Linked DNA regions of Macaca mulatta. Each later gene encodes a partner of the first gene's protein in a complex. Links are inferred from orthologs where the notes say so. Each region holds a gene or a part of one and is shown in the gene's direction. Other genes may lie near its edges. The genes, in order: TBL1X, ZYG11B, HDAC3, CORO2A, ZER1 and GPS2.

Region 1 (4,883 bases):
CTCTCACCTGCCCTTCTTAACTGTGCCATGGGAGCGGGAGATTCTGCAGGCCGTGGGGTGCAGGAAGTGTCATGGAGCCTCTCTCCCAGGACATCTTGTCATCCCTGCCAGTGTGGCAAGAGAGGGTCTTTAAAGTCTTAGAAAGAAAGAGACTGTGTTCACACTTGAGATGTTTTTATCATGTCACTAAATGGGGCTTCTTGGCTGGGTGCAATGGCTCACACCTATAACCCTAACACTTTGGGAGGCCGAGGCGGGTGGATAGTTTGAAGTCAGGAGTTCAAGGCCATCCTGGGCAATATAGCAAGAATTCGTCTCTACAAAAAAAAAAAAAAAAATTAGCCACGCGTGGTGGCGTGTGCTATTCGAGAGGCTGAGGTGGGTGGATCCCTTGAGCCCAGGAATTCTAGGCTGCAGTGAGCCATGATCACACCACTACACTCCAGCCTGGGTGACAGAGCAGGCCCTGTCTCTAGAATAAATAAATAAGTAAACTAAAGAGGCTTCTTGACTGTGCTGTTCATTGTTGTAAATCCATGGAGCTGTGCACACAGTGAATAACTGCAGGTGTTCTCCCTCCCTGCTGCAGCCCCTGCCCTTGATGTGGACTGGCAGAACAACATGACCTTCGCCTCCTGTAGCACAGACATGTGTATCCACGTGTGCAGGCTCGGCTGTGACCGCCCAGTCAAAACCTTCCAGGGACACACAGTAAGTGAGAGCTCTTGTCACTGATCTCGAGTTCGTGAGAATGTGATGTGGGAGCCGATTCTTGTGTGCCTGGAATTAAAAGATACTGCAGCAGCAGACCAGCTCTTCTGCGCCCCTTGGCTATTTGAGCCAAGGTGGTTGGATTGACCCAGTTTGGGGTCAGCAGTGAGAAGTTCACTCAGAAATGACCTAGATGGTGGATTTGGCAGCAAAGCCTTTAAGGTAGCTATGAGAAACATGTAGAGGACATCAAGGAAACGGTGCTCACAATGAATGAATAGACGGGGCACATCTGCAGTGAATGGAAAAAGATATGTCATTAAAAAACAAATGGAGACTAAGTGTGGTGGCTTATGCCTATAATCCCAGCACTTTGGGAGTCTGAGGCCAGAGGATTGCTTGAGGCCAGGAGTTTGAGGCCAGCCTGGGCAACATAGCAAGACTCTTGTCTCTACAAAAAATTTTTAAAAGTAGCTAGCTGCGTATGGTGACGCACACCTGTAGTCACATCTCAGGAGATGAAGGCTGCAGTGAGTTACAATAGCACCGCTGCACTCCAGCCTAGGCAACAGAGCAAGACCCTGTTTCTTTAAAACATAAAAAAAAAAAAAAAGGAATTGAGAACTGAGAAATACAATGTTTGAAATGAAAGTTTTAATAGGTGGGTATATTAGGCAGTTCTCAATTCTCTCATTGCTCTAAAGAAATACCTGAGACTGGGTAATTTATAAGACCGGAGGTTTAACTGGCTCACAGTTCTTCAGGCTATACAGGAAGCATGGCAGCATCTGCTTCTGGGGAGGCTTCAGGAAGCTTCCAACCGTGGCGGTTGGTGAAGCAGGAGCAGGCATCACACATGACCAGAGCAGGGGCAAGAGGTGGGAGGAGTAGCAGATGATCCAGACACCTCACACCAGGGACCACCTCTGCATCGGGGATGACAGTTCCACCTGAGATTTCGGTGGGGACACAGATCTAAAGCACATCAGTGGGTATACCAGCAGATGGGAGACTGTGGAAGTAAGGTTAGAAAGCATAGAAATTGGCCAATTTGAAGAACAGATAAAAGATCGAAAAATTGCATAAAGGCTTAATGACTTACGGGACAATATCAGGGACCCTAAACCTATATGTGTGATGGGGAGAGAAGAAAGAATGGAACAGAAAAATCATGTGAGGCACTAACGGCCAAGGTTTCCTAAATTTGGTGGAAAACATCAACATTTAATCCAAGAAGCTCAGCAAATTTCAAGCAGAACAAATATAAACAGAACCACACCTGTCCACCTAGGCATATGGTCATCAAACACCAGAATCAATGACAGAGAAAATCCTAAAGGCAAGCAGAGACTGACAAAAAAACCCATGATATACCAGGGAACGACAGTGTGAACAACAGCTGACTTAGCAAATTCCTTAGTGTGGCCTCTGAGGGCTTCCCGGTCTTTCACCAAATCTCTCTCAGATTAGCCAATTTCTGTGGTCTCTAACCTTCTGCAATCTCCAATCTGCTGGTAGACCCATTCACTAGCCTCGACCTCCAACCTTGGCAGGAGGAGAAAGCCTCCCTTTCCTGGGCCCTTGGGCTAGTGTCCAAAAATGCCCTGTACCTCTGTCCTCCCAACGACACATACAGCCAAGCACCTTGCCCCACGCTGAGCCTTGCCTGGAACCACAGCAGCTCTTGGTCTGAAACAGAATCCTCCCCACTCTCCAGGCCCGTTCACGTATCCTCTGCACGCCCTGGGGAGGATTCATGGCACCCCTTGAGCTCCCATTGACCACGTGAATGCCACAGCCCTGGCAGTAGCTGCTGGCCTGCATGTCTGCCTCTCCCAGAAAATGCAGAGTGCATCAACGCTGGGACCATGGCATCTTGGCTTTCTCTCACTAGCACCCAGAATATCTCCGCGGTGGCGGGGGGTTCCCTGTTAAAGCAGGGGAGGATGATCACAGGCCCTGGAGATTTGCCATCGTGCCACTAACTTAACTAATGTAAATTCCCTTGTCCTCATTCTCCTAGTGTCTACCTCTCCCTGCCCCTGGCCCAGGGGTCCCTGTCCCAAAGGAAGGTGCTTTTAGAGCACAGGCACCCATCGTCCTGTTAACATCTGTTTGGCTCCAAACTGACTCTCTTGTCCCAGTCTAAACTTATTTCTCCTCTAACCCTGGACTATCTGCAAATTTTTACCAGCTGCACACACTCTCTGTGGTTCCCAGGTGTCCTGCCCAGGACCTTGCCACCAGCACAGGCCTTGGCCCTTTAAGTGGGTCTTAATGCAGCTGATGGCCCTGAACAAAGCTCTAGCTCAGTGGGGTTGAGTGGAGACCCATGGGCCAGCTCTGGACGTGGCCCAGGAACTTGGGCTTGCATTGCAGAGTGAGGGATCCGCTCCCAGGAAGTTATTTGTTCCTTTGCGTTGGTTTGGCTAGGGACGGCCCATGGTGAGCGGCTCCACATTCCTGGGCCCGTAGGTTTTCCTCTGAATGGCTGCAGTCAGAGCCACCCTTGCTGGCCTTGGCACACACATTTCACACTCACAGACACCTATGCGTGCGTGTACTCACACCCCTCAGCCCCCTCTCCAGCATGAGTGTGAAATTAGTTAATTGTTAGGCCGGGACAGCAGGTGTCACATAGTGGGACTGTACTGGATATATGGGGCCCGAGGGAGCCCCAAGCTGGTACGCCATGTCCCCTCACTTCTCCTGGGCAGGCTGTTCCCCAGCTGAGCCTTTGCCACAGGTGGTTCTTTTATACATGCCTGTCTCGGGAGTGTCCCTGTCTCCCTTGGCTCCCGGGTACATTCATTCACCTTTATTCTGCAGGGTTTAGTCTCGTGGTCCCCAGGTGTCCTAAGTCTGCGCTTTTTGCCACCTAGCTGTGCCGATCATGAACCCCAAGCCAGGATTTTGCCTGTGCCGTGTGCGTTTGTGCCACTCAGCACTTGCCTCTCACTGTCCTTGCACATGTGTGTGTCCGCCTGTGTGTGCATTTGGGTTGCCCATCTTCCACCTGCATCAGTCCTAACCCCGCTTGAACTCCACAATAGCTGAAGGTTCACTTCTCGTATTTACCCCTCCCTCCATCTCCACTCGCCTGCAGGAGAGAAATATCTTCTAATGGGTGTGGTCACGGGGAGGAACTGTTGCACTAAAAGTACGTAAGAGGCCTGGCGTGGTGGCTCACACCTGTAATCCCAGCACTTTGGGCGGTCGAGGTGGGAGGATCGCTTGAGCCCAAGAGTTCAAGACCAGCTTGGGCAACCCCGTCTCTATAAAAATACAATAAATACATACGTACATACATAAATGGCATGGTGGTGCCTGCTTGTAGTCCCAGCTACTTCGGGGGCTGAGGCAGGAGGATTGCTTGAGCTCAAGAGGTTCATGCTGCGAGGACCTGTGATCCTGCCACTGCACTCCAGCCTGGGAGACAGAGTGATACCCTGTCTGAAAAAGAAAAGTGCATAGGAAAGTGATTTTGAAAGGCCAATTTAAAAAGTAACTGGTTTTACTGGTTTTATTTGCTGCGTTTTATGGTACGTGAATTCTTCACTTGCCTTCCTTCCTATCAGGGAAGGTTTTTTTCTTAACGAAATATGGATGAGGGTGGCTGGTGATGTGTGGTATAGGGCTGTGGTTTTATATAAATGAAAAAGGCAAAGTGAGAAAAAGAGGAAACTAGATGGCTGGTTGGGCTGTGCTCTTTGATGTCAGGGTGAAGCCGAAGACCTTCTGCAGTGACGGTGACGCACTGCTGCCCCCTGCTGGAAGGCGGCCTCATCTGCTCACAGGCCCTGATGTCTTTTTCAGACTCTCTGCTCTCTTTCAGAACGAGGTCAACGCCATCAAATGGGATCCTTCTGGAATGTTGCTGGCCTCCTGCTCAGATGACATGACATTGAAGGTAGAGTCGGCATGGCAGGGGGTGGGCTGTTTAATCCCAGACAACTCCAGGCACTTGACGCCGGTCTCACGGTCACTCTTCCATGAGGGTTATTTATTACTGACCACCCTCCCTTCCTGTGTCATCCAGTGAACTTTGATTTCTCAGTCGTGGTTCCACTGAGAATCCCAGCCTCCCCACAGCCTTTCTCGCCACTGTGCACCCCCCAGCCTGCCATGGGCCCCATGTGCGCCCCCGGGAGGAATGATTCCACATCGTTCCT
Region 2 (3,975 bases), on another chromosome or scaffold:
CCAGGAAGTGGAGGTTACAGTGAGCCGAGATCGCGCCACTGCACTCCAGCCTGGGCGACAGAGCAAGACTCTGTCTGAAAAAAAAAAAAATAATAATAATAATAATAATAGTTCATTTTCATACAAGTATTTATTTTTGTCAATACTTTTAGGTATTAGTGTTATTTTGATTTTACTCTATGGAATGACAGCCCTAAATAATTTCTTCTAAAATGCACTGTAATTTGGGGAATGTTAGAATATTTGGTCTCCAACTCAAGATATTTTAGGTTCCTACCTTGTGGGCTTATTTTGTTTATATTTAAATGGAATTCACTTCTATTTGTATTAAAATGTTTTAACCTGGCTGGGTGTGGTGGCTCACACCTGTAACCCCAGCACTTTGGGAGGCTGAGGCAGGCAGATCACTTAAGGTCAGGAGTTTGAGACCGGCCTGGCCAGCCTCGTAAAACCCCGCCTCTACCAAAAATACAAAAATTTAGCCAAGTGTGGTGGCTGGTGCCCACAGTCCCAGCTACCCAGGAGGCTGAGGAAAGAGAATTGCTTGAACCCGGGAGGCAAAGGTTGCAGTGAGCCAAAATTGTGCCATTGGACTCCAGCCTGGGCAACACAGCAAGCTAATCACACCGCTGGGCATGAGCCATGATCACCCCAGCCTGGGTGACAGAATGAGACTGTCTTAAAAAAAATAAAAAAGGCAAAGAAAATATTTCAAAAATTAAAAAATTGTATGTGCAGTATGACTGCCATTAGGTTTTTAAAAAACATAGGAAATGCAGCCTGGCACTGTGGGTCATGCCTTGTAATTCTATTACTTTGGGAGGCTGAGGCGGGAGGATTGCTTGAGGGCAGGAGTTTGAGACCAGTTTACACAACATGGTAAAACCCCATCTCTACTAAGAATAAAAAAATTAGCCAGGGGTGGTGGCGTGTGCCTGTATTTCCAGCTACTCGGGAGGCTGAGGCACAAGAATTGCTTGAACCCCAGAGGCGGAGGCTGCAGTGAGTCGAGATTGCACCACTGTACTCGGGCCTGGGCAACAGGGCAAGACTCTGTCTGAAAAAAAAAGCAAAAAAAAAAAAAAAAAAGCATAGGAAATGCATAAAAATATAACAACACTTACCTGTGATTTTGGGTCAAAGATAAGGTAGTTAAGATTGCTTTTATTTTTTTTAATACAGATTGTGTATGTCTTGAGGTTAGAAAAAGCAAGCTAGCTATTTATTGATTGAATGTGTAGGCCTTGCACTGTAGACATAACTCAGTATAGAGGTTTTTATCAAGCTGTAACATGTTAGTAATCAATAACAAAACACCTAAAAAAAATGGCTCCTAGAAGTCATTTTTTTGTGGAATAATTTTAAGTGTTTTAAGAAAAGCTATTTCTCCTGTTTTGTGGTGTTTTTTTTTTTTTTTTTTTCCAGCTTCAAGGTATTGCAGCATGCTGATTGAAGAAGGAGGACTGCAGCATTTATACAACATCAAAGATCATGAACATACTGATCCCCATGTCCAACAGATTGCTGTGGCCATTCTGGATAGCTTAGAAAAACACATTGTGCGCCATGGGAGGCCACCTCCCTGTAAAAAACAGCCCCAAGCCAGACTAAATTGATAGCCATAAGTATTGGATAATTGAATTACAGGAATCCTTTTTGTGATTGGTCCATTTGGAATATCTTACCCTCCGTGATGTTTTGGGGGTTTCTATGACCGGAGTCATAAAATCAGTTTGGGATTGGTAATGTATAGTACTGCCCATGTGAACAGTCCCTAATTTGTCTTGTGATTTTTAACTTATGAGTCAAGAAGGGTCTCTTCCTTTATCATTGCCTTTTAGGAAATTTTCCACATCTTTCAGTGTTTGAACTTACTTGTGCTTGAGATTCTACAGTTTTATGGTAAAGTTTGCACGAACCCTCAGGCCAGACTTTTCGAGTCCCTTCCAGTCAATTTGCAGCTTCACATAAGCTGTTGACCTGATTTCTGACACTGCTTCAGTTGTAAATTTTATACTGCTTCTGTATAAAATGGCTTTCTTCTCTATCTGTGTATCTTTTATAAGATGTCCTTCTTAGTGTGAAAGAAGGGAAATGTGGATCATCTTGTAGAAGCTAATCACTGGCAGGAGCCTGGATGGCTGGTGGAAAGATGTATGAGAAAGAAAAACTATGAAAGGAGAACGGAGTGTAGGAACTGGGAATTGCTTTCATGGTGTAGATTTTAAAATGAGACAGGCTACCCTTCAGGAGTCTACCTCTCTTGAGGCAGTGAGCAGAAGCTTGTTCTCCATATTTATACCTAGAAGCGTGGACTGCTGCTTCCTGCACAGACTGCTGGTTATTCTCTAGGAATATTTCTCCAAGCACCACAGTATAAAATATTACAGCACTCTGTGTTAAAGACTGTCTACATCTCCCTATGTCGTATTGTTGTGAAAATGTGATTTTAAAAAATTATCGCCAGTCAAAACTGGCTATTCTTTTCCTCTATTTCAAAATCATTTTTGTTCAGTGGAATAGAGTCAACAACATGGTGTTAACCTCTCAGTTAAAATACAATTGACACCAGTAAATTTTGCCATGAAAAGTTAAAATCTCTTGTTCAAAATATGTCTATCTTCTTAATGTGTTCATGTTGGAGAAAGTGTCCCCGTCTGCCAAAAATGAAAGAAAAGAATTAAACTTTTTAAGTGGTTAAATGTAATGACTCTACTCACAGTGCATAACAGCACATATTTTTGATGGATTATTTTTTAGACAATTACCTTTCCTTAAGGTATCTGATACAGTATAGTAAAGAATCACTTATATCAGTAATAGCACTTGGGAGATAGCAAGTCACCAAGAAACTTAATTTTCATTTAAAATTTTATTTTGTGAATAAGGTCAATCTACTACAATCGCAGATAACCACATTTTTTTTTCATAGATGGCCAGTGTTTTCAATAGGTATTTAAAATGGAATATTTAAATTATAATGATTATTCAGAAGCATTTTAATTTAGAAAGGAGCTAGTTTATTAGTTCACTGATGACATTTTTTGACAAACATTTTATACCATTATCACAATAATCAGACTTGAATTTTTTTTGAGTTTCTTCATGTGAATGAAAATTGAGTTAGAAGAAAGTAGGTATTGGCCGGGCGCGGTGGCTCAAGCCTGTAATCCCAGCACTTTGGGAGGCCGAGATGGGCGGATCACGAGGTCAGGAGATCGAGTCCATCCTGGCTAACACGGTGAAACCCCGTCTCTACTAAAAAGTACAAAAAACTAGCCGGGCGAGGTGGCGGGCACCTGTAGTCCCAGCTACTCGGGAGGCTGAGCCAGGAGAATGGCGTAAACCCGGGAGGCGGAGCTTGCAGTGAGCAGAGATCCGGCCACCGCACTCCAGCCTGGGTGACAGAGCGAGACTCCGTCTCAAAAAAAAATAAAATAAAATAAAATAAATAAAAAAAAAAAAAAAAAAGAAGAAAGTAGGTATTTAGGTCCAAATGCAGTGGCTCATGCTTGTAATCCCAGCACTTTGGGAGGCTGAAGCAGGAGGATTGCTTGAGCCCAGAAGTTCAAGACCAGCCTGGGCAACATAGTGAGACTTGATCTCTACCTAAAAAAAAAATTTTTTTTTTTTTTTTAAATTAGCTGGGTGTGGTGGCGCCTGGACAACAGAGCGAGACTCTGACTCAAAAAAGAAAGTAGATATTTAGAGTCACTGAAAACCATATTAAATACTGGGTTAATGCTGACTTAATTGGCTTAAGGAATTTTTATAGGTATAAGATAAATTTTCACAGACTAAGTTTATTTCAGACGAAATACAGAATTCTTTTAAAAGGTTTTTTTTTTCCTTTTCTGAATGTTAATGTCTAAGACAAAGTTAAGAAAATGAGATGGCCTGTGGTAGCTTAGAAATTGCTAGATATGTTGACCATTTCCAGGTCTTTTACCTAGTGTAGTTAAGGGAAAGCCTGTT
Region 3 (5,515 bases), on another chromosome or scaffold:
TGTGCTGGAGGAGAGGATACTCTCCAAGGCAAGCTAAGTCATGCTGGCCCTTGTTTCCAGCTCACCTGGACAGCTGCACTGTCCCTTCTCCTTCACTGTCCCCCAGCATCTCCTTCAAGGCCTCAGCATTGGCTGAGGGAAGAAGGAAAAGAGGGAGTCAGTGAAGGTGGAGGTCAGGGCAAGAGAAGGTTGGAGAAGGAGGGAGCAAGGGGCTATGCTAGACCCACCTTCATTTTGGATGATGCAGCGAACAATCCTCTCTACTGTGTCCTCATTCATGTCATCGTCCTCAGCTGAAGGATGAAAGAGATTGGCAAGGAAGCAGGAATGAGTCAGCTTTGGGGGAACATTACCTGGTGGCTCCCATCATTTATTGCTTAGGACATACCCTTTTACCTACTTGCTATCATGCTGGACCTCAGCATTTCAGGGACCAGAAAAGATGGGGACACCAATGCAAGCCCAAGACTACCATCCAGAGGACCCTTGCTGCCCATGCTGCCTTCTCTAGTTTTGCTTTCAGAGTGGTGTCACCCCACTTGCTAACTCAAGAGTGCATCACTAAGCTTCCTGAGCAGGCTTGATCAGGATTTGGCCTGGGTCTGTTGGTCAGGGAGGCAGAGGTGAGGGGCAGAGGTGTGGGGAGAAGGGTGAAAGGTTACTGAGCCAGGGTTCCAGGCTCCACTCACGGGGCTGAAGCTGGGCATCGTCAGGCTCGGAGCCCCTCGACGTGCGGCAGCGGTAGCCCTTCTTCTTGAGCACGTGGCAGATCATGAAACCTACCAGGCCCATGAGGAAGAAGACCAGCACAAGCAGGAAGAGCATATACAGCCCATGTTGGGGCGGTTCCAGGTCAGGCTGTGGTTCCGACATGAGGCCCTGGGGGGCGAGCGCGGGCCAGGGCGCCTCCTGGGTTTAGGAGGCTGCAGCTGGGAATGGGGGAGGGGTAGGAATGCAGTTCTCAGGATCTGAAACAAGCACGTCTAAGACGTTCGGCTAAGGTCCGGCTCCACCCCCTACCCAACCAGGGAGCTGTCCGGGCCAGGGGTGCTGTTTCGTCAATACGGCCCAAGGCAAGAGGTCAGCGGCTACGCAAGCTCTCTACCACGACCCTGGTCCCGCTTCCCCGACGCCCCGAGCGTTCCCCTTTCCAGCTCGTTCGCGCTTCCGTCCCTCCCAAGGACACTGCAGCACGAGATGGGACGGAATTCTTAGGCGGCGGGAGCAGAAATCGTGCCTGAGTCAGCGCCCGCACCTCCTCCGCGCCGGCCTGAGCCAGGCCTCTGCAGCCCCCTCCTCTCAGTACTCCCGCACCCCTCTCCCTTTTTGGTTTCTCCCACCCTGACCACCTGGCCCACCCGGTACCGGTGATTTGGTTCTGGTTCCGGCTTCTGCTCAGGTTCCGGCTCCAGGGGCGTCCTAGTGCGGCTCGGGGCCCCCGACGCCCTTCCGGCGCTCATCCCTTGATTCCTCCCCTCCCCCTTCGCCGCCTCACCGGCCCCGGGCTGTGGCTGCGGATACCCGCGCCGTGGCAGGCGGGGGGAGGGAAGGACAGAGAAGGATGCGGGCTGACTGAGAGCGGCGGCAGGCTCTGGGCAACTCCGGCCCTGGGTCAGGGAGATCGCCTCCGCAGCCGCCCTGGCTTCCCAAATGCCTTCGCCCGTCGCGGGCCCAGGACCAGGAGGCGGAGCGCAGGTGTGCGGGGCGGAGAGCGTGAGCTCTGCGCGCGCGTGACTGCGCCTGGCCCCCCCGGGGCAATGTGTGGCGCCGAGTCTAGGTCCGGGTAGGGGACAGGAGGTCCGGCGTGGGTGTTGTCCACTGGTCTATCCGCTACGCCTGGCGCAGCTCCTGCCCTCAGATGCCCCGACCAAGCGGAGAGTCAGGAATCTTCCCCGAGGGCTGGGGGAAGCCGGCTTTCCGCACCTTTGAGGGACGGCGTGGCGGGATCTTCGGAGCTTCCTAGAGAAGTGACCACGGCCTGCGCCCGGTTTGGGGCAAGCGGCTGGATGGGATGGCTCAGCTTCCCGAGGATCTGACCCCCGGCCGGAGAGAAATGGCCCTTGCATCCTAGGAGCGATGCTACCAGTTCCCCGCCCAACCCGGGACGCTCAAAGCCGCAGCTCCCGGGAGAGCGGAGCCAGGCGAGGGGCGGAGCTCCCCCGGGGGCGTGGCCTGGGTGTGGCTGGAGGCGGGACCGCAACGCCCAGTTCCGCAGAGGCAGGCTACGTGCTTGCGCAGCACGCACGGCTGGGGCGGGGTTGGCGGCGGGTGGCGGGTGGCGGGCCGCGGGCGGCGGGCGGCGGGCGGCGGAGGCGCGGGGCCTGCTCCCGCCGGCACCATGGCCAAGACCGTGGCCTATTTCTACGACCCCGACGTGGGCAACTTCCACTACGGTGAGGAAACAGGGCTATGCATGAGGGTTGGGACGCGGAGGTTTTGAGGCGGGGGTTGCAACTCCAGGGGTGAGAGCTGACGAACTCTTTTCTCCCCACCCCCAGGAGCTGGACACCCTATGAAGCCCCATCGCTTGGCATTGACCCATAGCCTGGTCCTGCATTACGGTCTCTATAAGAAGATGATCGTGAGTTTCGCCGCCTCGGCCGGGGGTTGGGGGGGGGTGGGGCGAGCTGTGGCGGAAGGGATAGGTGGGCTGGACTGAGTGCATCAAGTGCGACCAGCCCCTAGAGTAGCGGGGAGCTGGATAGAAGACACCGGAGTATCTTGAAAGTGCCGGGTGTTGGAGGTGGCGTCCTCTGCTTAATGGAAAGTACTTTCTCAGCTCAGGTCGGCCACCCTCTGACTGTAGGCACCCTAGCCCTTGGCCTAGGGTTAAGGTGATGTGGGGGCTGGTTTGAAGACAGAAGGAGTGTTCCTCCTCTGCATTTTAGAGTGTGGATAGGGCCTTGGCCTCAGGAATTAGGTTTAGGGGAGCGGATATCACTGTATCAGGGTGTAAGGTTTACCCTCAGTTCCCACTCCTCTTTTGCCACCTTTTTTTTACCTCCAAGGAGCTGGGGCTCCAGGGTGGGACGATACTACCGTGTTTCTAAATGTGTATGTGCGTGTGGAAGAGAGGAGATATCTTAGGTATTCCTTTTTCAGCCCGGAATACCTCTACATGGTTCTACTTAATCGCTATCCAGTTTTTCATCTCCCAGACATACACATGCTGTCTTCCCAGCTTGGAATTTATGGCTGTGATATGGCATAGTAACAGTTAAGCCAGGCCAGGTGTAGTGGCCCATGCCTGTAATCCCAGCACTTTGGGAGGCTGAAATGGGAGGATCGCTTGAGGCCAGGAGTTGGAGACCAGCTTGGGCCACAGTGGGACCCACATCTCTACAAAAATAAAAAATAAAAAAAGTAGCCATGTGTGGTGGGTGTGCCTGTAGTCCCAACTACTTGGGAGGCTGAGGCGAGAGGATGGCTTGGGCCCAGGAGTTTGAAGTTACAGTGAGCTATGATCAGCAGCCTGAGTTGACAGGGAGGACCTTGTCTCAAAAGAAAAAATAAGACAAAACAGCTAAGCCCAGGCTTTATGTGTTGCTAGGGAAGCTAGTGAACAATATGAATGAATGTTCATTGCTTGTGCCCAGGCACAGACAAATAGATTGGTCATAGAAAAGACTGAGGTGATGTTAGTGCAGGAATCTTTATCCCTTGAGATTGTTTGCCTATATGTACCTGTGTGCATTTTCTGGGAGAAAATTTGTCCAGTTTTCAAAGAGATGTGACACATCCCCCCGACCTTCCAAAGATAGTAAACTTCTGATTTTAATTAGAAAGTTGACATATATGCCATATATTTGACTCCAGAAAGAAGAATCTGGAGGAAAGAGGACAGAATCAGAGCTTGGGGGAGGAGATGAGCGTGGAGAGAACTGGGAATAGGAGATCCAAGGAACAGGGCAGGTGGATCAGGGCTCAAAGTTGAGAAGGTACAATAGGCTGAGCTGGAGGTGGAAAGGAAAAGAAATGGTCTTCAGGGGGCTCATTCGTAATAACTCACCTGGTTAATTGGAGTCTCTCTATTGACTTAAGGATTGTGGGATGAGGGGAATGCTATATTTGGCTTCATATAGTCTCCAGGGCTGGGTTCAGTATGGGTGGTCTGAGCCTGTGGAGTGGGGCTGACCCTGGCTAGGTTCATCTTGTGTCTCCATCCCGAGGTCTTCAAGCCATACCAGGCCTCCCAGCATGACATGTGCCGCTTCCACTCCGAGGACTACATTGACTTCCTGCAGAGAGTCAGCCCCACCAATATGCAAGGCTTCACCAAGAGTCTTAATGCCTTCAACGTAGGCGATGACTGGTGAGGGAGGACTGGGACTTTTGATGTCTAATAGTTTAATGCCAAGCCCTTCAGTGAGGTCTTTTGGCAGCAGTGGGAAGATCTCAAGGGGGGCCTACTTGTCAATGAATCATAATTCACTTACTTGTTTATTCAATAAATATTTACTGGTCACTTGTTCTAGGCCAGGCCCTGTGCTAAGTGCTGGGAATGCAGTGATGAACAAAACCAAAATTTTAATACTGTATTTTTGCTAAGTCTTATGAAGAGGAGGTATATGACAGATTATGAGAGTATATATGTGGAGAATTGTTTAGCTTGGTGTAGTGGCTGGTCGGTGGGGCCTTCCTAGAGGAAGTAAAGATTGAGCTGAGATCTGAAAAAAGAGTAGAAGTAGTGAGATGAAAGGTGGTTGAAGGGTGAGGGGAGGAGTATAGCAGGCAGTAGGGACAAGTGCTAAGGGTCCGTGGTAGGATTGAGTATGACTCATTTGAGGAACAGAAAAAAGGCCAAGTGCAGAATATGAAGAGGAGGTGAACTGAATTGAGGCTAAAGAAATAGGGCCTTTTTAAAGTAAACAGCTCTATTATGAATTAGGGTTTTTACTCCTAGAGTAGAGGGAAGCTATCAAAGTTTTTTAAAAAGTCCTGATCATAAGAGGGCTATGGGCAGTTAAGAAAACAAAAAAACAACAAAGGAGTGGTTTGATATCGTTAGGTTTACATTGAGCTGGTATCATCCATAGAAGAGTCAGGATTAGACCCTGTGGGGAAAGGAGTGGACAACAAAGATAAGCCATGATCTTTGCTTACACTCTCCTCTACATCCATGAAAAAATAGTAAACATCATAGCCACCAGTTCCTCAATTCTACTTATTTTTGTTTTTAAGCTTTCTATTAGGGAAAATTTCAAAAATTTCAGAAAGTGAAGTAGTGCAGTGACTTCCCATCCGTCACCTAGCTTCAACACTTATGAGCAAATGGCCACTCTTTTTTTTTTTTTTTTTTGAGACAGAGTCTCACTCTGTAGCCCAGGCTGGAGTGCAGTGGTGTAGTCTTGACTCACTGCAACCTCCGCCTCCTAGGTTCAAGTGATTCTTATGCCTCAGACTCCTGAGTAGCTGGAATTACAGGTGCCTGCCACCATGCCCAAATAATTTTTGTATGTTTAGTAGAGATGGGGTTTCACCACGTTGGTCAGGCTTGTTTTGAACTCCTGACCTC
Region 4 (5,442 bases), on another chromosome or scaffold:
CCCCTCCCTCATGGACATGGGGCCATATCGTACAGAAAGTTCCACGTGGGGCATATAGATGGAGAACTTGTCCCCCACCCCCACCCCACACACATATGTTCTGGTCCTACACAAGATGTTTACCTACACATGGAAGATTAACAAAGCCGGCCATTGGGCTCGGTGGCTCACGCCTGTAATCCCAGCACTTTGGGAAGCTGAGGCAGGCAGATCACGAGGTCAGGAGATCAAGACCATCCTGGCTAACACGGTGAAACCCCATCTCTACTAAAAATACAAAAAATTAGCCGGGCGTGGTGGCGGGCGCCTGTAGTCCCAGCTACTCAGGAGTCTGAGGCAGGAGAATGGTGTGAATCCAGGAGGCGGAGCTTGCAGTGAGCCGAGATCACGCCACTGCTCTCCAGGGTGGGCAACAGAGTGAGACTCCGTCTCCAAAAAAAAAAAGCCAGCCATGTGGGTGCACTGGGAAGGAGGAAGAGGGAGGTTTCCTGGCCCATCCCAATCCACACTAAGGCCTAATAGAAGGTGCTAGCAGATGGGCCCAACTTTGGAACCAGACGTGCTATGTGGTTTTCTAGCTAGGGGATCCTGGGTAGGTCATGACCACTGTGGCGTCAGGTTCCCCATGTGTGCAATCCTGAATCTCGGCTCACTGCAACCTCCACCTCCTAGGTTCAAGTTATTCTCCTGCCTCAGCCTCCCAAGTAGCTGGAAATACAGGCACATGCCACCACACCCGGCTGATTTTTGTATTTTTACTAGAGATAGGTTTTCACCATGGTGGCCAGGCTGGTCTTGAACTCCTGATCTCAAGCAGTCCACCTGCCTTGGCCTCCCAAAATGCTAGGATTACAGGCATGAGCCACCGCGCCCAGCCATCCATATGCTTCTTTGAAAGTTTAGATACCCAACTCTTGCATGCTAACACCAGAAGCATGCGTTCAGCCTGCCTGCTGGGCAGTCCGACTCCAGAAGGCCTGAATCAGAGCTGTAGGCTGAGGGTTTTCAGGACCATACTGCACACTGGGCTTTAGGTGGTAGGCAGGGAGCCCGTCCATCTCTGGGCAGGGGAGTGGTGCAGTGGACTATGAAAGCTGAGTCACATTCTAAGGAGAGAATCAAGAGCTCCCCAAGTACCTTGCCACTCCAAGCCTCAATTTCTTATCTGTAAAATGGAGGTAATAATAGTGGCTAAATAAAGGGGTTGCTAGGCTTAGAAGAAATGATACAGATATGTAAAGTAGTAATAGTGTACTCTGTCATCCACTCCACAGCTATATATTGAGTGCCTACTATGTGCCACGGAGCAGTTCAAGGCCCTCAAGATAACGGTCTTTACTGAACAAAACCAAGAGCTCTTCGGAGACGTGGTGTGGTAGAGTGGCTGTGAGCTTAGCAGCCCTGGGAGCCATACTGCCTGGGGTCGCATGACTAGCCGTGTGATCTTAACCTAGGTACTTAACCTCTGTGTGCCGCAGCTTTCTTTTGTGTTAAATAGGTGAGTAATGGTATCAACCTCATAGGCCTGTGTGACAGTGAATGGAGGTAATGCACAGAAGGCGCTTAGAGCAGTGCGTGGCTCAGTAGTGTTCGGTAGGGGTGGTACCCAAAGGTAGGGCCTCCCCATTGTCTAGTGTCCTCAGGGCTCCCCAGCCGGCGAGGCTGGGCAGCAGCGCCCCCGCTGGTCCCGAGAGAAGGAAGGGCGTCCTCCTCTGCTCCCAGCGGCGCTCCCGGCTCCTCTCCTCCCTGCGGACTGGGAAGCCTCGGTAACAGCTGTAACTGCTCGGGGAAAGGAGCGCTTCCCCGGTCGGGCTCTGCGCGCGCACTGTACCTGTCCGGGATTGTCACATCCAGGGCTCAAACAGCCTTAAGAGGCCGACGCGGTTATTGTCTCCATTTCACCACGGGGGAAACTGAGGCTCCCGGAGGTCAGGTTCCTCATCCCACACCACGCAGAGAGGGCACGGCGGGACGTGGGGCCGGCGGCTCTGCTTGTCCCCAGCCTCCGCCTGGTGGCCAGCAACCCGCCCCAATCACTGCGACGTGTGCGCGCCTGCTCCCAGCACGTGTGCGCGCCCCGAGACCCGCCCCGGGAAGCCAGGAGCGCGGTTGGGGTCGTGGGGGCGGAAAAGGGTGGCCAGGGCGGACCCGCGGGGCGGGCGAGAGGGCGGACCTTTGGCCGGGCCCCCGCCCCGCCTTCCAGCCCCGCCCGCCGGGCTGCAGAGGGAGGCGGCGGCGGCTCTGGGCGCCGGGAGTCGGCGGGCGGCGAGGAGCGCGGAGCCGGAGCTGGACGCCGCCGCCGCCACCGCCACCGCCACCACCACCTGCGCGGCCGTCATCAAGGTAGGGCGGCCCCGCGCCGCCGGCCGTGCCTTCCCGGTCTGCGCGATGGGGACGTCGGGCGGGACGTGCGCACTGAGCCCCCCGCGGCTTCAGCTCTCGGAGAGGGAGGGATGCGGGGCTCGGCGCGCGGGGGACCTGGCTTTCAGCCCCTTTGCGTGACCTTGCACAAAGCACTGCTCCTCTTCAGGCCTCAGTTTCCCCGTCAGGATAGCGGGCTCATTGGTGGCCCCCTTCTCTCGGGGTTGTTGGGAGGGGCCGCCCCGAGGTCCGCGCTCCCGACGGCTCGCTGCCCGCATGAGTACTGTCTGCACCTCCCACCCCTCCAGCCCGCGGTGAGGGAAGCGCACTCTGGGCGCGGCCAGCCGGTTCCTACAGGCCCCTGCTGTGGCCCGGGTGCTCCATGGGACTCTTGTCGGGACCCTCCCCCTCTTGGCTGCGTTACCTGCTGGGCCTCAGCTTCCTGGTACAGGAAACGGTGGGGTGGGGGGCATCCCCGGGTCCCCGCCAAGCCGGCCTGGGCGTGCAGGTGGGGCATCAGCCGGCCCACCAAGAGGGTTTACTCGTCTGGGGCTGGAGGAGCCCTAGGTTGGAGGTGGCTGGACTCCTGGCGGCACGACTGCCTGGACCAGCCCCACGTAGGCACCTCGATTTACAGAGTGGTACAGGACAGCTCCTTCCCCTTCCCCACCCGGGCCAGGTGCTGGTGCCTAGCTCTGTGTCCCAGAGCTAGTGTGTGATAAGGTGTGACACACACTAGCTGGTGTGACAAGGGTTGACTGGCGGCCACGCCTGGACCTCAGAGGGGTAACAATGCCAAGGGGCTGTGTCTGCGTGGTATTAAGGGATGGGACAGAGCACAGGTCTGAGGGACTGTGGTCCAGGCTCCCTAGGTAAAGAAGACCTATGGCATCTGGCCCAGCCCCTCTGTAAGACCCCCTCTGGAAGGTCTTGCTGCCCCCTTGCACACTCCTTGTGATGGGGATCTCATTAGTTGTAAACCAGGCTGGAATCTGCTACCCAGTCACTGCCTCTCCTGCTGGTCCTGCTCTGAACACACAAACAACCTCTGACCCTTCCTCCCTCACCCTGGAGCAGTGATCAGGTCCCTTAAGTATGCTCACCTCCAGCCCCAGCAGTTTCTCCCATCAAAGCCCAGGGAGCCAAGGCAAGAAGAGGGAGCTGAGGTGTCTGCCCCAGAGCAGACTGTGGGACCTCCGCTTTCCCGGGGGTTGTTCAGAACCCACCTGTGCCTCAGAACTGGAATATGTCTCTCGAGCTTCCTGCCCCTCCTGGGGACCTTCTGAGAGGTCTGGAGTGAGGAGAGCCGGAGCCCCTCTGCAGGCCTTTCCTGCCCCATGTGGCCTCCTCTCCACCTGCCTGATGCCTGCCCTTTTTGAGGGAGCGGTGTCTAAGAATCACTTCTCAGCCTTCTGGACTTTCTTGTCCCCTTCATGACCTGCCCCGCACCCAGGGACTTTCTTACAGCCAAAAGAGGGCAGGAGGCCCCTGGACAGGTCGTGAGCTCTTTGTCATCACAGGTATGCAAGCAGAACCTGGGGTGAGCTACCTCGGACTGAAAGTCTGTGGAATTCTAGGGCTGAAGTAGTGCCTATGACCTTGCCCTGCGGCCATGGTGGAGCTGCACAGGACTGGGAGCCGGACCACAAATGAGTGTTATTATCCCCTCGTAAAAGCAGGCAAAGTATACGTGCTGGCCCATGAGCCCAGCTCCGACGCACAGGCTTAAGTGCTACCTGGGTCTCCTGTCATCTCGACACATGTATAATCTGGGCCCTGTTTTCCTGCTTGCCTAGTGTAAGCCTTTTTGGCCTGATTTAGGAGCATGGCAGATTCGGGTTATTAAAAAGTCATGCTATGACTTTAATTGCTAATAGTTTTTAAGTGCACCATGGAATTATGGAATGTCTAAGCTGAAAGGAGCCTTAAGACATCTTCTCATTCAACCCCCTCATTTTACAGATAGGCATCCCCTGTCCCCAGAGGGGATGTGACTGGGCAAAGGTCACACAGCAAACCAGCAACCGAGCCCAGGGATCCTGATTCCAAGATTGGAGTGCCTTTTTTTCCCCCAGAAAACACATAACATTTAATAAATGAAAGGAGGCTGTATTTATTCCTGTAAAATTAGGAAAAATAAAAATAAAAGGATGAAACTCTGCGCTGGCAAGGCTGTAGGGATTCGCCTGTGGCATTTAATTTTGCAGAGCAATCTGGTAGCCTGTTGTCATGAAAATGACCCTACTTGCCCTTTGCCTTTAGCCAGCTACTTTGAGGGCTTTATCCTAAGGAAGTAACTATAGAGAGAGACATATGTAGTGCTGTTATTTGTAAGAAGTTGTCTTCTGGCCTGGGCGCAGTGGCTCACACCTGTAATCCCAGCAGTTTAGGAGGCCAAGGTGGGCGGATCACCTGAGGTCAGGAGTTCGAGACCACCCTGGGCAACATGATGAAACCCTGTCTCTACTGAAAATATAAAAATTAGCCAGGTATGGTGGCACATGCCTGTAATCCCAGCTACTCGGGAGGCTGAGGCAGGAGAATCACTTGAACCCGGGAGGCAGAGGTTGCAGTGAACCGTGATTGCACCACTGCACTCCAGCCTGGGCGACAGAGCGAAACAACATCTCAAAAAAATAAAGAAAGAAGTTACCGTCTAGTGAAGAAGTGTTCAGTGTTTTATCTGAGGCTTAATAAACATTTCATTTGACAAATACAACTTAAAAAAATAGTGGCACTGAAGCTTACAGTACCAGAGTCTGGTCAGCATAGAAACAGTTTAATCCAGAAGAAAGACCATGAGACTAAAGTCAGCAGACATAGATTCCAGGATGAAGTGTTCCTCTGCCCTACCTTGGGCCAATCCGTTCCCCTCTCTGGACCTCACTTTCCCCATCTGTGAAATGAGGGTAGACTCAGCAGTTGCTGAATTTGTTTGAGCTCTGACAGCCAACCTCTTAGAGTGAACAAATCTCAGTAGCCAAGCCGAGATTGGAAGGAGATTCGTTAATTGAATCTCCTTAGAGGCAGGCAGCTAGCTCCCCACCGAGGGGTTTCAGCCTTAAATCTCTGCTATTTCAA
Region 5 (4,883 bases), on another chromosome or scaffold:
CCCAGCACTTTGGGAGGCCAAGACGGGTGGATCATGAGGTCAGGAGATCGAGACCATCCTGGCTAACACGGTGAAACCCCGTCTCTACTAAAAAATACAAAAAACTAGCCGGGCGAGGTGGCGGGCGCCTGTAGTCCCAGCTACTCGGGAGGCTGAGGCAGGAGAATGGCGTAAACCCGGGAGGCGGAGCTTGCAGTGAGCCGAGATCTGGCCACTGCACTCCAGCCTGGGTGACAGAGCAAGACTCCGTCTCAAAAAAAAAAAAAAAAAAAAATATATATATATATATATAATATATATATATATATTTTTAAGATTTTATATATATAAAAATTTTTTTTAAAAAAAAGAATGAGCTCTGGAAATAAATACAGCAACTTCAAACCAAGGAGTCACCTCTTGCTTCCCCTACGTGGATGCAGAACTCCCACCCATGGGGCTGGGCACACGTCTTGCCCCCACCAAGGCCTGTGCCTTCACACCCCCAGCACCAGGATAGTCCTCACAGACAGGGTGGGTTTCTGGGCCTCGGGCTGATCAGAAGACCATCCTGATCCTCTGCTGTCTGCTCCTATCCCACAGCGGACAAGTACTGCCCTCTGCTGATCAAAGAAGGGGGGTTGCCCCTTCTGAGGGACATAATTAAGATGGCGACCGCACGGCAGGAGACCAAGGAAATGGCCCGGTAAGAGACTAGCAGTGTGTTTCTGCCTGGAACCTTGATTTGGGGGAGTAAGGGCATAGCGGGCGCCCTCTGGAGGTTAGGAATGACTGAAATTCCCGGGGCAGCTTGGGGTTGAGTACAGAGGTTGACAGTGTATTGATGTCCAGCTGGGGCCTCTCCAAATGTCATCTTGACCACAGTATGGCTGGAAACTAGATGACCAAGCTCTGAACGGAGCATCAGGGCCCTCGTTTGTAAGCTTCGTTTTATTTTATTCCCAACAAATTCCATCCTTTTATCACCGGGTATTAGCAAGTGAGGTCAGAACTTTTCATTGTTTGGCCAAAGACGTTCCCACTAAAGAAGGGACATGGTATGGTCAAATACATTCTGGAGATGAGACGAGGCAGAGTGCAAGTGAGCTTGCTGAATGTGAAGGTCGCAAACATGGTAGAGTCCCGGCCTTCTGTGGCTGTGTGGCTTTCACTGCAGTGTCTAAAATGCCACTCCCTCCAGTTCTCAAGTCAATCAGGACAGGAGAGACTCTCAGGGATGTGACATGTCGAAATCGTCAGAAACGACCTTGTTTTCTCCAGGATTCATTCTAGAAGGGACAACAGTCAAGCTGACCCAGCACACTTTTTCATGTCTCTGTATAGAGCAAAAGGTCACATGGAGGAGGGGCCTGGAACTCAGAGGCTCCTCAGACAGCCACTTCCTGGGCCCAGGCAGGGAAATGTCACCTGGTTCTATTATATCTGCCCAAAGGCACTGCTGGCCAGGCACAGGGGCTCACACCTGTAATCCTAGCACTCTGGGAGTCTGAGGTGGGTGGATCACTTGAGGTCAGGAGTTCGAGACCTGGCTGACATGGTAAAACCCCATCTCTACTAAAAATACGAAATTAGCTGGGCGTAGTAGTGCGCACCTATAATCCTAGCCACTTGGGAGGCTGAGGCGGAGAATCACTTGAACCTAGGAGGCGGAGGTTGCAGTTAGCCGAGATGGTGCCACTGCACTCCAGCCTGGTCAACAGAGCGAGACTCTGTCTCAAAAAAATAAAATTTAAGAATAAATGGACAGGAGCCACCCCTAGGTTTTCTTTTCCAGTGCATCTGGGAGGTGGGAGGTGGCCCTGGAATTTTCATGGTTAACAGGGATTCCCGGGAAATTTGAGAAGCACTGGGTAAGACTGACCAGTTACCTACCACAGTCACTTTGAACATGTGTCCAAGGCCTGTGATGGGAATCTGAGGCACTGGCCTATCTGACAGCAAGGAGTAAATGACCCTGGATGATGCTTAGGAGAAGGCTCTCGGCCTGTCCACTGGCCCCTCTCCCACTCTGGGAATTTGCTTCCTAAAAGGTATTGGGGCACCCCTTTAACACACAGAGGCTGCAGTGAAGCCCCCAACCCACAGGCTTGGTGTTGAATGGGCAAGCTCTCCGGGTTCCAAGGTGACAACTGACAGTGATGGGTGGCAGGGGTCAGGCTGGGGTGGGTGAGACTTGAAATCTGAGCTGGAGTGCTGGGCCCCAGCTGCCACAGGGTAGTGGGGGCCCTTGTGCGAACACAGCTGTCCCCACCCCACCCTGGACCTGCCACTGGATCCGGGCCTCTGGGGGAATCTGATGTGCAGTCAGTTTGGGGACCACTGGTGGACTTCTGGAAAGAGAAGGGTCTGGTGTGCAGGGAAAATGAAGAAGGAAGAGGTCACTGAAGAAAGTTCCAAAGGGTTCTGGAGGTCAGGCCTGAGCTGATTTGGGGACCCCTATCCACAGATGCCCTGGAACTGGGGGTGGTGGGAAGGAAGGAAGCGGAGGACAGCTGGTGATGGCATTCACGGCCACAGGTGCCATTCCCTGAGTCCCCTGCACATGCCAGCCACTCTGCCAACCCCTCCATCCACATCATTCAGTCAGCATCACCATCACTGTGAACACGTGTTTACCCAGCTGCGTGATGACCTCGGAGGGGCTGGGCTCAACCCACCCAAGCCCACCCTCCAATCCTGTCTCCCTCATTGTCTCCAGCAAGGTGATTGAGCACTGCAGTAACTTTAAAGAGGAAAACATGGACACATCCAGATAGAGGCCTCCACCCCCATGGCCACCACCGCTCTGGACCACAGGCGGGGAGGAAGCGTGCTCAAGCAGCCCAGCGGGCAGTCCCCTTCCGAGGGAGCCCCCCACGGAGTGAAGAGACATGGGGGACTTTTGCACAACCGACGCTTTTCCTTAACATTAGTGAGATATATATATTATATATATATTTTTTTTTTGGTTAGGAAGTGTGAAGTTTTGTGTGTATGATTTCTGTACAAAAACAAAAGCAACACTCCTGAGTCCTTGCAGCTTCCTTGGCCATTCTCAAACCCACTCAGCCTTCATCGCTGACACACTCACTCCTACCCCAACCAGACTAAATGCCTATAACGCTGTGAGTATCCAGTCCTTGTCCAGGAAACTCAGACCCCAGTCTGGCTTCCTTTCATGAGAGGAGCAGGCCTTGGACAGTGTATCCAGCATCCTGACCCACTGCCCATGCCTGAGAACTCCATCTCGGCTCCCGGGCACAGCTGATGGGGTTTGGGGATTAGAACTTACCCCACTGGGTCTCCCAAAAGCCTTGGTGCTCCCAGCTGTGGGCCATCTGGGGCAAGAAAGTGAGCTGTTCCTAGGCTAAGGTCCAGGCAGCCCTGCCCCTGAAGACCTTCCAGGAGCAGGGCGCCCAGTGGCCCTGCTGCTGTCCGGCCAGGCCTGCCTGAGGCCACGCTGCTATGGAGGCTGCCTCCTAGTCTCCCACCAGGTCCCAGGCTGTGGAAAGCCCCAGCCCAGGGATGGTCAGAACTCGGGGGCAGATTCCACTGCCCCTTCTGCCAAAACACATCCAGAACCTGCCCCCTGCCCTGGAAGCCAGCATCTTCTGGGGCCAGGGGCTTGCTTCCTTGCTCCACAGCCTTCAACTGCCCAGGCGCTCCCACCAGCAGAACTGAGCCTGCCTCCTCATCCCAGCCTGCCCCGCTGCCCAGAGGACCCCACGCCTCTCAGAGGCAGAGGTCCCACGCCAGCCTTTGACCCACAGCGGCCACACAGCCGCCTCCAGACCAGCACTCAGACTGCCCTGCAGTGGCTGCTTGGGCCTCTCTGGCGGTCCCACCCTGCCCTCGGCTTTACCTTGGAAGCCTGAGAGGCGCCGGCTCTCTTGTGCTCCTCCCTCGGTGGACGCTGCCTTGCTTCTCATCGGACACTTGTGGATCACAGGGGCCTGGGGAGCAGCGCTAACCCTGGAGGCAGCCTTTGGATGATGGCTTTTTCTTCCCTCTTCCCTCTGCCGGCCTGTTTTCAGGTGTTCCTAGCATTTCCGCCTCCAGGCAGGACGGGATGGGTGAGCAGCTTTGGGAGAGACACCTGGCCTTTTTCTCCCAGAGCCTCTCCCTCCCTGTCCTGGGAAGTGGGCGGCAGCCCTGTGTTCCCCCAGCTTGGCAGATGGGCTGCATGCAGCGCTCCCTTCCATCCCACGCTCAGTGGCCCCGGCCAGACCCTGGCAGAGTTCACACCTCATTGCTTTACCCCCTGGGGCCTGGGGAAATGTCTGTACTTTGGGATGTCACAGAAATACATTTTTGTGCAAAATGGAGAACAGAGCGTCTTTTTTTGTGGAGGGGATTGCTAGCCTGGCTTCCAGGCTCTGGAGCAGGACTTGAGCCACCCCCGGCAGGGGGACGGCAGTGTGGGTAGTTCTGTGGTAGGGAGGGGTGTGTTTGGTAGGTTAAAGGGCTGCAGGCTGGGGACAGGTGGCAGGGGACTGAGCTGGAGTACCTGTTTCCTATGCGTTCTCTTCACATCCCTGTGCCCACTGAGGACACAACTGGCAACCAGACCAACAGGGTGCCTGCCCAGGATGGCTCAGCCTGATGGGGGAGACAGATGGCAAATAGAAGATAACGACTCTGTGCCACCAGCAGGGAGAAGGCAGCGGAGGGAGTGGGCAGGCAGGTCAGGGAAGCCTGGAGTCCGCTGGGCCACAGTGCTTTAGGGAGAAGGGAAGGAGCCAGCACGGTGTCCCCATGTGTCCAGGAGGCTTCTCACAAGAGCCAGAGTGCAGCCAAACCCAGTGAAAAGATGGAGGCTGCCCAGGTCTGGCCCGAGGGGCGGAGGAAAAGTGCATCCTCAGCAGAGGGTCCTGCCAGGGTGGACAGAGAAGCAGCCCCATGTG
Region 6 (5,381 bases), on another chromosome or scaffold:
CGTAGGAAAGAGGGGGGCGAAGGAGACAGCAGTGTGGCTGGTGTGGGCATCGTAGGAAAGAGGGGGGCGAAGGAGACAGCAGTGTGGCTGGTGTGGGCATCGTAGGAAAGAGTGGGGCGAAGGAGACAGCAGTGTGGCTGGTGTGGGCATCGTAGGAAAGAGTGGGGCGAAGGAGACAGCAGTGTGGTTGGTGTGGGCATCGTAGGAAAGAGGGGGGCGAAGGAGACAGCAGTGTGGCTGGTGTGGGCATCGTAGGAAAGAGTGGGGCGAAGGAGACAGCAGTGTGGTTGGTGTGGGCATCGTAGGAAAGAGTGGGGCGAAGGAGACAGCAGTGTGGCTGGTGTGGGCATCGTAGGAAAGAGGGGGGCGAAGGAGACAGCAGTGTGGCTGGTGTGGGCATCGTAGGAAAGAGGGGGGCGAAGGAGACAGCAGTGTGGCTGGTGTGGGCATCGTAAGAAGGTGGGAGAGATTCGAGCAAAGGCTTGAAGAAGGAAGTGAAGGGTGTAGCTGAGCAGGCTTTGGGAGGAAGAACATTTCAGGTAGAAAGAACAGCTAGAGTGAAGCTCCTATAAGGCGGGAGTATTTCCTAGGTACAGCAAGGCTTGTGTGGTTGGAACAGACTTTGCAAGGGGGAGGTGATGGGGAGAGAAGCTTCACTCCCTTATTTTTTCCTGTTTGACAGATTCCGGGACCCCAAATCCCAGCGGACGCACCAGGCTCAGGTGGCGTTCCAGGTGTGTGTGCGCCCTGGCTCCTACACCCCGGGACCCCCTTCCGCTGCCCTTGGAGAACCTCCTGACCCTCACTTCAGTCCAGCCGAACTTGAGTGGGTCACTAAGGAGAAGGGGGCCACACTCCTCTATGCCCTGCTGGTACGGGTGGAATGAGGGGTGACACACAAATACTACAAGCACAGTCGGGCCTCGGGCCCATGGACTCTGGCGACTGCCTCCACCTCATTCCCGTGACTCGTGGCATGCGCAGGTGCTGGAGCTTGGCAGCCGCGCAGGAGCATGTAGGCAGGCTCTCAGATGTAGGTGGCAAGTGGCACAGCTCCATGTCTGGAGGCCCAGCACTCCGTCTGATGGGAGGAGCCGTGGGAGCCCAGCTCCAGGCCCTGGTACCCCTCTTCATGCACTGATTTGGGGAACATGACTCCCTTTTACTCCCCTTCCCCACATCACTTAATTTATTTCCGTTTTTGTTTCTGGTTACTGTGAATCCCAGAGGAGTCTCTCCCTGTGCCCACATGAAGCTGCTTTTTCCGGGGCCACCGGGCAGGAGTGGGGAAGGGTGGGCGCACGGAAGATGGGGGCCTCTGTACAGTTGTTACTGACTCTGATTTCTAAGGAGCCAATAAACACCGTCTCAGAGCCTCCGCCTCGGCCTCTCTCTCGCGCGCCCCTCCCCGGAGCCCGCGTCCCCTGGGGTGCCACCAGGTGGGCCCGCGAAATTAAAGAGAGCTGAGGATGCCAAGACCAGTTTACAGCCCTCGTCGCCCGCGTTCCCGGCTACGGGGTTTGGACGCCGCGGGCACCCGTCGCAGCGCGCTTCCGCTTTCTTTCACCCAACCCGTGAGGTCGGCCGCAGCCGTGACTCCGGAAGGACTTGGCCGGGCCGCCGGATGTGACGTACGGGCCAGGGCGCGCCGGAGCTGCTGAGAAAGCGCAGAGAAGGCGGGTAGGGAGGGCTGGCGTCCGGGCTGGCTGGGCAGGGAGCGGCAGCACCGAGTCGGGGATCCCGGCGCCGCCCGTGCGCGCGGTGGAGCGGGGGCTGCGGGCCCGGCCGGGTGGCGGGCTCCTGGGACACGTGACCGGGGCGGCTAGCGGGTCGGGCGGACGGGCTTCCGCCTGGGCCGGGCGCGGTCCCCTCTGAGCGCCCGCCTCCCCGCAGGCGCCGTCTGAGGTCTGGCAGTCAGAGACAGAGCCGGGCGCCCACGGCCCGAGCGCCCACGGCAGCACCATGCCCGCACTCCTGGAGCGCCCCAAGCTTTCCAACGCCATGGCCAGGGCGCTGCACCGGCACATTATGATGGAGCGGGAGCGCAAGCGGCAGGGTGAGCCGGGGCCATAGCGGGGGGACACACGGCCCAGAATGGCTCCTGTACCTCAGGGTTGGCCTCAACCCAGCGGCCAACCAGTGAGCCCGCTGCCGAGCGCAGAGGAGGGAAGGAATAGCCCCGTTGTGGTGGGATTTAAGCGTCCTGGTCCACGCTCCAGAACCCTTGAGACGGGAAGGACCTTGGAGAGCACCTGATAAAGCCTCTCCGTTCCCTATTGCAGCGATGGGGGAGCTTGTCCCCTCGAGGCAAAGAGCGCACAGGCGTGTTGGGATGACTGGGTTTTGCTGGTCTTCAATCTAACGTTGGAACTGTTTTCACTACCCTGCCTCTTCTTCATTCTGCCTGATTCTCCAGAGGAAGAAGAGGTGGATAAGATGATGGAACAGAAGATGAAGGAAGAACAGGAGAGAAGGAAGAAAAAGGAGATGGAAGAGAGAATGTCACTAGAGGAGACCAAGGAACAAGTAAGCAGTCCCTTGAACTCTCCCAGCTTTGATTTCTTCCCTTGACTCTCCCTGCCTTCATCTTCTCTTCCCACTCCCTCCCAGATTCTGAAGTTGGAGGAGAAGCTTTTGGCCCTACAGGAAGAGAAGCATCAGCTTTTCCTGCAGCTCAAGAAAGTTTTACATGAGGAAGAAAAACGGAGGCGAAAGGAACAGAGGTGGGATCAGAGTGCTAAAAACTGAAATGGGGGCCAAGTGGAACTGGGATCAAGTAATAAAAGAACTAGTGTTTAATGGCGAAAGAGAAGGCATCTGTCCTTAGCTTTGACCTGCCTTCCTCTCACTCCAGTGACCTGACCACCCTGACATCAGCTGCATACCAGCAGAGCCTGACTGTCCACACAGGAACTCATCTCCTCAGCATGCAGGGTGAGGACTAAAGAGACCACCTGATGGAACCGGCCTTCTTACAGGTTGCAGCCTCCCATTTCAGCATCATGAAGCCCTTCTCCCTTTCTAGGGAGCCCTGGAGGACACAATCGCCCAGGCACCCTCATGGCAGCTGACAGAGCCAAACAAATGTTTGGACCCCAAGTGCTTACGGTGAGAGTAGGATTGGATGCCCAGCCCCTACTGCTTCCATCCATGCATCCTTGCCACCAGTATTCAAGTCACAAACATATCAAGCACTTAAGTTTAGGGGGAAATGCGGCATACAGATATACACAAGTCACTGGGTTTCAGCTTTCAAGTTTATAGGCGAATTCTCATTCTCCCTCCTTAGACCCGGCACTATGTGGGCTCAGCAGCTGCTTTTGCGGGGACACCAGAGCATGGACAATTCCAAGGCAGTCCTGGTGGTGCCTATGGGACTGCTCAGCCCCCACCTCACTATGGGCCCACACAGCCAGCTTATAGTCCTAGTCAGCAGCTCAGAGGTGAGTAATAGGAGGGATGGGGCTTGGCCTTCCTCAACGTCAAAGGAGGAATGCCATTGAGTAAAAGGTTTTAATGGCTCTGTCTTTTCCTTTCTCAGCTCCTTCAGCATTCCCTACAGTGCAGTACCTATCTCAGCCACAGCCACAGCCCTATGCCGTGCACGGCCACTTTCAGCCCACTCAGACAGGTGATAACATCCCATGCAGGAGCTCTAGCTCTCTGGGTCCTCCCCTCCCTGTTTCATTCTCATCTCACATGCCCCTCTTCCCCACGTAGGTTTCCTCCAGCCTGGTGGTGCCCTGTCCTTGCAAAAGCAGATGGAACATGCTAACCAGCAGACTGGCTTCTCCGACTCAGTGAGTATGGCACCTTGGGAGGTCAGGGTTAGGGATATGTTAAGGGGAGCTTCAGTATGCCTCAGGCCCTGACTCTGTTCTCTGCAGTCCTCTCTGCGCCCCATGCACCCCCAGGCTCTGCATCCAGCCCCTGGACTCCTTGCTTCCCCACAGCTCCCTGTGCAGATGCAACCAGCAGGAAAGGTAAGAATGATAATAAAGTTTACCTGTCAGAATCCTTACACTAGGGATCCAGAAAAGCAGGATTAGGTAGGACCGGTGGCCCACATCACCTGGTTTTTCTTCCTCTCTGGGGGTGGTTACCAGTAGGGCATTAAGTGGGAGAGTACGCCCAGTGACAAAGCCCTCTTTTCATCACCACCGCCAGTCGGGCTTTGCAGCTACCAGCCAACCTGGCCCTCGGCTCCCCTTCATCCAACACAGCCAGAACCCGCGATTCTACCACAAGTGACGATCAGATTATATCTTCAACATCATGCCCCCTGCCCCACTGTGGGTGAGGATACCCCCCGTGTGTCCCAGGCCAATAAAATCTACCTGCCACTGACCCTGGCTGCTGCTGTTTGTGTTGCCTCCCACCCAACTGTCTGGAATAGGTCAAGGCTGCTTGGGGGGTGGGGGGATGACTGGCAGGTCCACAGCAAGTCAGTGATAGACAGCGGGTTCCATGAACTCAGTGGCAGAGTTCAGTCTTTTTGTAGCTTCCAAATATACCCATTTAATTCAAATAAGCAGCTGAGTTGGGGGCTTCATATTAAACTTGTAGTTTTATTCAGGTTTGATTTTAACAAATGTGTCGGGGAGAGAGCCCGCAGGGAAGGGTAAAGCCCACGGGGGCAGGGCCCTCCCAGATGCCTGAGGAGGGGGCAGGTCCCCTCCCCTCTCCTCCTCTTCCCTCCCCATCTAAAGGGGTTTGGGGAGAGACACAGGCAGGGGAGGGGGCTGGTCCCCAGTCTGTTGGGGTGGTGCTCAGGGTAAAGGGCTATGGGCAACAGGGGACCAGACCAGGGCTGAGTGGGGAGGGCACAAGGACCATTTGCCAGAATCCACCACTTTGATTCCAGATTGAATTTAAAAAAAAAAAAAAAAAAAAAAAAAAAAAAAAAAAAAAAGACTAAACCACAAGCAGCACCCACCCCCTTCTCCCCCACCAGGGCTGTAGTGTGAGGGGAGAAGAGGAGGGCAGCTTCACCAAGGCCACGGCTTCGCTTGCTCCTGGCCAAGGGAGCTAGGTGAAGGGGAGGGGCTCCCCGACAGATTGAAGGGGTGGGGAAAACCAAAATAAAACGTCAAATAAATTTGTGTAGGAGGAGTCCAGCCTACAACCAGGCCAGAGCCGGGCCAGGCTGGGGGAGGGGGCCTCTGCAGGTTCAGAGGATCACTGCTGCCACCATCGCCACCCTAGGTAGGAGAGAGAAATTAGTAAGATAGGATAATACCTTCAACGGGAAGGATAGGGAGGACAAGGCCAGGCTAGGGGCACAAAGTAAGCCTGGAACAATTAAGACTAGAGCAGATCTGCTGAGGACAACAAAATGTGAAGGGGACAGTGAGGGATTTGTCACACTCACCTGGGAGCCA

What was found.
Region 2: TBL1X (region 1) and ZYG11B share a complex: the UniProt entries of both Homo sapiens proteins name them as parts of the E3 ubiquitin ligase complex. The link is inferred for Macaca mulatta from reciprocal best matches to the Homo sapiens genes TBL1X and ZYG11B.
Region 3: TBL1X (region 1) and HDAC3 share a complex: the UniProt entries of both Homo sapiens proteins name them as parts of the N-Cor repressor complex. The link is inferred for Macaca mulatta from reciprocal best matches to the Homo sapiens genes TBL1X and HDAC3.
Region 4: TBL1X (region 1) and CORO2A share a complex: the UniProt entries of both Homo sapiens proteins name them as parts of the N-Cor repressor complex. The link is inferred for Macaca mulatta from reciprocal best matches to the Homo sapiens genes TBL1X and CORO2A.
Region 5: TBL1X (region 1) and ZER1 share a complex: the UniProt entries of both Homo sapiens proteins name them as parts of the E3 ubiquitin ligase complex. The link is inferred for Macaca mulatta from reciprocal best matches to the Homo sapiens genes TBL1X and ZER1.
Region 6: TBL1X (region 1) and GPS2 share a complex: the UniProt entries of both Homo sapiens proteins name them as parts of the N-Cor repressor complex. The link is inferred for Macaca mulatta from reciprocal best matches to the Homo sapiens genes TBL1X and GPS2.

The regions. Positions count from the first base shown.
Region 1 is NC_133426.1:9,256,718-9,261,600, forward strand, and holds part of TBL1X (F-box-like/WD repeat-containing protein TBL1X), read left to right. Parts: intron 1-589; coding exon 590-711; intron 712-4,546; coding exon 4,547-4,621; intron 4,622-4,883. UniProt on the Homo sapiens protein: F-box-like protein involved in the recruitment of the ubiquitin/19S proteasome complex to nuclear receptor-regulated transcription units. Plays an essential role in transcription activation mediated by nuclear receptors.
Region 2 is NC_133406.1:187,814,646-187,818,620, reverse strand, and holds the end of ZYG11B (protein zyg-11 homolog B), read left to right. Parts: intron 1-1,425; coding exon 1,426-1,616; 3' UTR 1,617-2,677; downstream 2,678-3,975. UniProt on the Homo sapiens protein: Serves as substrate adapter subunit in the E3 ubiquitin ligase complex ZYG11B-CUL2-Elongin BC. Acts to target substrates bearing N-terminal degrons for proteasomal degradation with the first four residues of substrates being the key recognition elements.
Region 3 is NC_133411.1:150,478,101-150,483,615, reverse strand, and holds the start of HDAC3 (histone deacetylase 3), read left to right. Parts: upstream 1-2,279; 5' UTR 2,280-2,338; coding exon 2,339-2,393; intron 2,394-2,498; coding exon 2,499-2,581; intron 2,582-4,169; coding exon 4,170-4,312; intron 4,313-5,515. Other genes in the region: RELL2 (RELT-like protein 2), read right to left, coding at 66-132, 228-293, 690-873. UniProt on the Homo sapiens protein: Histone deacetylase that catalyzes the deacetylation of lysine residues on the N-terminal part of the core histones (H2A, H2B, H3 and H4), and some other non-histone substrates.
Region 4 is NC_133420.1:60,209,845-60,215,286, forward strand, and holds the start of CORO2A (coronin-2A), read left to right. Parts: upstream 1-2,010; 5' UTR 2,011-2,343; intron 2,344-5,442.
Region 5 is NC_133420.1:18,926,122-18,931,004, forward strand, and holds the end of ZER1 (protein zer-1 homolog), read left to right. Parts: intron 1-582; coding exon 583-685; intron 686-2,698; coding exon 2,699-2,756; 3' UTR 2,757-4,277; downstream 4,278-4,883. UniProt on the Homo sapiens protein: Serves as substrate adapter subunit in the E3 ubiquitin ligase complex ZYG11B-CUL2-Elongin BC. Acts to target substrates bearing N-terminal degrons for proteasomal degradation with the first four residues of substrates being the key recognition elements.
Region 6 is NC_133421.1:8,805,390-8,810,770, reverse strand, and holds GPS2 (G protein pathway suppressor 2), read left to right. Parts: upstream 1-1,645; 5' UTR 1,646-1,752; intron 1,753-1,893; 5' UTR 1,894-1,962; coding exon 1,963-2,056; intron 2,057-2,416; coding exon 2,417-2,526; intron 2,527-2,610; coding exon 2,611-2,723; intron 2,724-2,854; coding exon 2,855-2,934; intron 2,935-3,025; coding exon 3,026-3,108; intron 3,109-3,289; coding exon 3,290-3,443; intron 3,444-3,541; coding exon 3,542-3,631; intron 3,632-3,720; coding exon 3,721-3,800; intron 3,801-3,887; coding exon 3,888-3,983; intron 3,984-4,167; coding exon 4,168-4,251; 3' UTR 4,252-4,347; downstream 4,348-5,381. Other genes in the region: NEURL4 (neuralized-like protein 4), read left to right, coding at 683-887. UniProt on the Homo sapiens protein: Key regulator of inflammation, lipid metabolism and mitochondrion homeostasis that acts by inhibiting the activity of the ubiquitin-conjugating enzyme UBE2N/Ubc13, thereby inhibiting 'Lys-63'-linked ubiquitination.